Linked DNA regions of Xenopus tropicalis. Each later gene encodes a partner of the first gene's protein in a complex. Links are inferred from orthologs where the notes say so. Each region holds a gene or a part of one and is shown on either strand. Other genes may lie near its edges.

Region 1 (2,511 bases):
TGTATACACTGTGTAGGGATGTTCCAATTTATCACTACATGTTATTGTTTATGATGAAAACAATTATAAAAATTAGTTAAATATAGCAATGATATAGGACATGCAACCCTGCATCAAGTAGCCAAATAATCTTTTATATTTATCAATATATTATGTCTAGGTAAAAATGCTGCTGTACAAGATTATTGTGCTACTTCTCAGTCTAGTATGCAAAGTGGCCTTTTTAAACACGCCCTCAAACATATATGCATTTGACAGTGAAACACAGGCTCAGATGTTATCATAGCTTGTACTGCTTAAAGATATACAGTATATATGTTAATGTACAGCTACTAAAAAGCTAGGCACATTTGCCTTCAACAGCTGCTATAAATTCTTTACCACTGATTTTATCTGAAGCACATGTGCCCCGTTTTGATTATGATTACAACTTTGTAATTGATAGTTACAAGGGTGCATGGTGTTATTGCTCATGTAATATTTTACACAGCTTTAAAATATGCCCAAGTGTGCTAATAATACAAAAGGGGAAATAAGGATTACTATGTCCAAAACATTTAATAAGTATAAGGGAGTATGAATAAATTATCTGAAATGTCAGGCAGAGAAACAAGTCTACAGACTCAAATTTGTCTAAAGAAGACAAATGGCACAAAATCAGAAAGCAAATAATATATTAAACAAGTTAGTTAAAATAATAACAGGCAAGATTATTAGGCTTTTTTTTTTAACTTAACAAGTAAACTGATAAAATATTCACAGTATGGTTTACGGGAGTGTCACATAAATTTATAAACATATTTATACACAAAGTTTCAGAACACTAGATTAAAATAATAAGGGTAATAAGAAAGTGGCATATGGCAGGGCCCATTAAACCCTATGTTACGAGCATGTGTAAAATATTGCAGTTTTAATAAAGGCATGTTCATATGTCTATTCTGTCATATAGCAGTAAGGTAATACCTAGCAAATGAACTCAAATACTTTATTCAGATCCAGAGCTATAACAAACTGCCAATCACTACAATACAATTCCAATAGTAAGACAATTCATTTTTATATCTTAATAAGGATCTATATTAGTAATAATACTGCAAAACATCATCTACATTTAATGCTAACGAATGTAATGTATAGTTATACAGAAGATATAAGATTCAGATAGGGATGTGTGGGATATTTATGTCCCAGTATAAAAAAAAACAAAAAAAAAAAAAACTGCATAACATTATAAAAACCACAAGAATAAAACTCAAGAGTCGGTCTTGGTCAAGTCTGAAATTTGTCTTTTATAGCTCTTCGCGAATCCGCTTGTCTGTAGTCTTGATGTTTAAGTCCATCTTATCTACTTTGCCAGTTAGGCGCCCAAGCATCTCATCCTGGTCATCGATTTCTGTCTGAAGTCCTAGTGCAAGGTTTTTCAGGCGACCCAAACCTAAAGACATGTCATCTGGAAGAAAGGAATAACACAACCTTAGGATTAGTATTATTATTTTTAAAATGCAGCAATATTAGTAGGTATGGAAAAAAAAAATACGGTGTATGGGTTACACCTTGTCATTTAGCTTTAACCAGGTCATCTATAAATGGTAGCCTTGATGCCTAGAATCAGTCATTAAAATCTGTTGGGAGCCTATTTCTTTCCCAATAGATTCTTAATGTGATTAGTTGGTTGGTAATTAGAGTCGCAATCCTCCAAACTGTTTATGAAAGATATGCCAAAACAGGAAGTATTTGTTAAGAGATACTGACACCAGAAATGAAATTATTTTTACATCTGTCATAACATTGTCTTTGCATGCTATTTATAATTTTGCCATAAAAGTATTTGTCCAAGCTTTTACATTCCCTATCTGATCCCCCATGTTCCTCTATGAGGGGGCGGCCATATTTGTCCAGCAGGAGGCCGTTAGCATTAGAAGCTATAACTGACAGGCTGAGAAGGGACAGTCAGGCTGGCAAAACAGTCAGGTTTTGGGATTTCAAGTAACAATTACTTACAAAAGCAGCCCTATCAGTAAAAAATGATCAACACGACCTATAGGCAACTTTTTATGTAGATTTATATTTTAAAAAGTTTTTTTTTCGTGTCAGTATCACTTTAGCAGTCATAATGGTTTTGTAGACAGGCCAAAGGGGTATTTGAAGAGCAGCTCTCTTATTATTTCACTCCCAGTCTTATACCACACAAATCCTTTCAGTGTTATTATGTAAAAAGACACTGGGTTACCCCATTAGGGCAAAGGCACACATTTCAGTAATTTAAAAAGCAATTGTAATACTGATAATAGTAAATGTAGGATTGGTAGTTAATGATCCTCAGAGCCTATAGTAATCCAGATGCCAAAGCATGCAATACCATATTTAAATTGCCAGATGTGTGAAAGGTCCACCTACCTTTACAACTTGACAGCAAAGAATTTTAATGGAATATCATGGCCAGACAGACCAGCCTTATCAAATAAACCAATTTAGAACATTAATACGAGGCAGGGGGTATGTGCATTT
Region 2 (3,834 bases), on another chromosome or scaffold:
GCACTACCGGGTACATTTTCCATTCTTGTGTTGCTCCCCAAATCTTTTTACATTTGAATGTGGCTCAGGGGTAAAAAAGGTTGGGGATCCCTGTTGTTATAGAGTGTATGACGTCTGTGGTGCTAGCGCTTCTGTGCGTCTTTGGGCCCAAAAATTCTGTGTACTAATGTTGTCATGCATTTCTCAAAGAAGTGAATTGGAGGTGGCAGAATCTTCTTCTTACCTGGTAGAGAATTTTTCATGTGCCACCAGCCTAAATGGCAGCGCTAGAATTGTTTAGTTGCAAACTATAATGATATGTTGGAGCAACAAAGTCTGCCGTGGTGGATAAAGGACAAAGAAATAAAGGCGTTCTGTTTTGATGAGGTCACAGTAAATAGCATTGGCATTAGCAATGCATTAGCATCTGAGCTATGGAAGGTTTGGTATGTGTGGCGAAGGTTTGAGGATATATCTCATGGGAAATACCGGCCATGCAGTGATCAGGAAGTCACAGCGGTTTGTGGGGTTGGATGCTCGGAGCTCTTGGCAGGGAGTTGTTACAGCACACCAAGCCAATTTAAAGGGCTGATTCACCTTAAAGTTTTATTTATACTTACATATTTAATTTGGATTGAAAAAAAAACAATGGTCCTTTAAGTTTATTGGGACTGGGGAGCGTATACACCAAAAACCAAGTTGTGTTTAAAAAAAATTCTGCGTGTTTTTTAATTTAAAAAATCTGTATTTTTTGCCAATATAAAAACAAATTTTCATTGAACTTACCCTCACTTGCTTTATAAACAGGGCAGTTTGTTTAGATCTTCCTAACTACTTTTGAGCAAACAAATCCTTCCCTTCTCTAAGCAGCAGCCTTTAAAACAGCTTATTATGCAGGGCTTTTCAGTGGGCTGGTAATTAGTTTTATCAACTCCTTTTGAAGTTCATTGGGATCAGAAAGCCTCAGGAAGTGCCAAAGTGAAGCTGGCTTCCTATTCTTGTTTTGTGCCAGAAATGGCCCCCGGGCTCCTGTCCCGTTTTAAGCAAATGCTTACTGCACATACGTGTGTTAGAATCAGTGGAGTCAGTGGAGATAGTGTGTATGCTGAGTGAGCGTTAAGCAGGCTTTAGGCCAGTCTGTAAGCATGTGTATTGGTGTCACTTCCAGGATGAAACATTTTCGCCATAGTGCTTGATGTAATTCAGAGTTCCCCTTCTCAGCATTGACATTATGTGCACATACTTTAACAAAAAAGAAAATCCCATCCACGGTCATCCAAATGTCTTAGCTTCTTTACTTCTTTCTGTTCAGCTACAGTTAAAAATCCAATCTACCGGTCACAGAACCCGGCGCCAAAAAAACTATTGCTCTGTGAGGTTAAACTAGTATTGTTATACAATTGTTATTGTTACTTTATAACTTATCATTCTGTTCTGGCCCTCTCCAATTTATTTTACGCTCTTTTATTCAAGCCACTGTCTGGTTGCTAGGGTAAATTAGGCCCTAGCAAGCAGGTAGCGGCTAAAATGCTAAAGTGGAGAGGCTGCAGAATATAAAGCTTAGTTTAATGTTAAGGGCTCTGGCACACGGGGAGATTAGTCGCCCACGACAAATCTCCTGTGTCTCGGGTGACTAATCTCCCCGAAATGCCATCCCACCGGCGAAAATGTAAATCGCCGCTGGGATGGCATACGCGGCGGCGCGATTTAATCGCGCAAGTTTCCTCTCGAGGCAACTTGCGCGATTTCACTGAAATCGTGCCGCTGCGTTTGCCATCCCACTGGCGATTTACATTTTTGCCGGTGGGATGGCAATCCGGGGAGATTAGTCGCCCGCGAACAGGGAGTTTTGTCGCGGGCGACTAATCTCCCCGTGTGCCAGAGCCCTAAAGGAGAAAGAAAGGTAAAAACTTAATCAGGATTTTTAAAGAAACCTTTATCAGAAAGGTCTACGTAAATACAGCCATATCACTTATAGTAATGCTGCTCTGAGTCCTCTATCAAAAGAAACACAGGTGGGCATATCGGGGAAAGAAACAAGCGGATCTTATGTCTGGCCAGCTTCTTGCAGGGTATCCCATTTCTGTGGAATTGTATGGCTGACCTTAACCATACATGTGCCACAGCTCTTACAGCATTATAGGGAAAACAAATTCTACTGATTATTTTTTGCCTATTAACTGTAAAAGAGTGGCAGCATGTGTGATTCTGTATCCTGGGTCTTTGCAGATTTCTGCCCCTATTTCATTATTGATTACTTTGGCAGGATATGGGAGGGGCAAATGCCCCAGCGGCCCCTGAACGCGTGAGGGATCTCCAGAGTCAGGTGGACGACGTAAAGGGAATCATGTCCCAAAATGTGGAGCGAATTCTGGCACGGGGAGAGAATCTGGATCATCTAAGGAACAAAACAGAAGACCTGGAAGCTAGCGTAAGTGCCCATAGCCATAGGCATCCCATCTAAATCCCTCTCCAGCCCCATCTTAGTTCTCCACTACCTACACTGTTATTCTGCCCATCATCCTTCTCTGTACTCGCTCTATCACTGCCTCACCTTGTTTTGTCTGTTCCTTTCACCCAGTCTGAACACTTCAAGACCACTTCCCAGAAGGTTGCCCGCAAGTACTGGTGGAAAAACGCAAAGATGATTGCCATAATCTGCGTGGTGGTTGGAATTATTGTACTCCTCATCATCCTCCTCGCCACTGGAGTCATCCCCACATAAAGATTGTCACTCGCCAACCAGGCTGCTCTGCCAATGAGGACTCATGATTACCTTTCACTTACTCCTGCCTGATGAGCTCTCCTCAAGCCAATGGAGAGAGGCCAATCAGACTTGTGTTGTTATACTTTGGATGCCTCTGATTGGCTACATTCATTTTCTCCTTATGTGTTGGCCTGTTTCAGGTCACACCTAGATCCAGTGGGGTCTGCATACCAAATGAGTGTATATTTTCTTCCTACACATAAAGGTTTGATTCTCAATATGGCAAATAAAAATATCTAGGTATATTATTTCATTCCTACTTGCAGCCCATTTCCCACTTTGTTTCCGGTGATATGTTTTTGGTTAAGTTCTTGTACTCATTGTACACCATTACCATTGTACACCATTACCGTTATGGACTAGATAAAAGTGTAATATCTACCACTTCTACACTTTCACCAATTATTTTTTTTTAAACCCATGCATGTTTTGCATTCTTGCCTTTATTCATTAGTTTAAGCCCCAAATGATACATTGCTGCCACCCAGTGTATAATCTGATATGGGAATCCTGCTCATTCACTGGTGTACACATTGTTGATCAACCCCTCTCGGCTACTTAGAGTTGCTTCTGTTTGAATTTGTTTGCAGAAATTTCTGGGAAATCTGAATTAACAGTTTATCTATAATGCCACTGTAGGGGACATGTCTCTTTTGTATATAAGGGTAGATTGTATCTAACTAGCTATAATATGCATTCTCTTATTATCAGTTGGGTTCTAGAGTCTTAATATGTTGTTATTATTACTTGCTCGTAGTAGTCATTTGAGGCTCGGTAAATTCTTTTTCCGTACATTGGAATCTTTCCTAAATAACTTGGGTAAATCTGTATGTATTCAGAGAAGAAGTGAATGTGGGTGCCATATTTATCTTGGTTGTTCATCTTCAAATTAACTTTTAATATGATGTAGACAGTGATAATCTGAGGCAATTTGCAATTGGTCTTCATTTTTATTTTTTAATTACTTAGCTTTTTGTTTAGCAGCTTTCCAGTTTAGCATTTCAGCAGCTATCTGGTTGCTAAGGGCCCAATTTACCCTAGCAACCAAGCAGTGGTCTGGATGAAAAGCTGAACTATAAAATAATAAA

What was found.
Region 2: the proteins of snap29 (region 1) and vamp8 are in contact, whole or in part, in a crystal structure (PDB 4WY4), measured with the Homo sapiens proteins. The link is inferred for Xenopus tropicalis from reciprocal best matches to the Homo sapiens genes SNAP29 and VAMP8. Residues at the interface, in NP_004773.1 of Homo sapiens: Leu206, Leu209, Ser210, Leu213, Leu216, Lys217, Ala220, Leu221, Met223, Gln224, Ile227, Glu228, Gln230, Asp231, Leu234, Leu237, Thr238, Val241, Asp242, Leu244, Asp245, Ile248, Lys249, Thr251, Glu252, Val255, Arg256, Leu258; in NP_003752.2 of Homo sapiens: Leu16, Glu19, Val20, Val23, Ile26, Met27, Gln29, Asn30, Arg33, Ile34, Arg37, Asn40, Leu41, Leu44, Lys47, Thr48, Asp50, Leu51, Thr54, Ser55, His57, Phe58, Thr61, Ser62, Val65, Lys68, Phe69.

What each region holds. Positions count from the first base shown.
Region 1 is NC_030677.2:153,633,107-153,635,617, forward strand, and holds the end of snap29 (synaptosomal-associated protein 29), read right to left. Parts: intron 1,454-2,511; coding exon 1,293-1,453; 3' UTR 658-1,292; downstream 1-657. UniProt on the Homo sapiens protein: SNAREs, soluble N-ethylmaleimide-sensitive factor-attachment protein receptors, are essential proteins for fusion of cellular membranes.
Region 2 is NC_030679.2:125,658,536-125,662,369, forward strand, and holds the end of vamp8 (vesicle-associated membrane protein 8), read left to right. Parts: intron 1-2,245; coding exon 2,246-2,410; intron 2,411-2,560; coding exon 2,561-2,704; 3' UTR 2,705-3,123; downstream 3,124-3,834. UniProt on the Homo sapiens protein: SNAREs, soluble N-ethylmaleimide-sensitive factor-attachment protein receptors, are essential proteins for fusion of cellular membranes.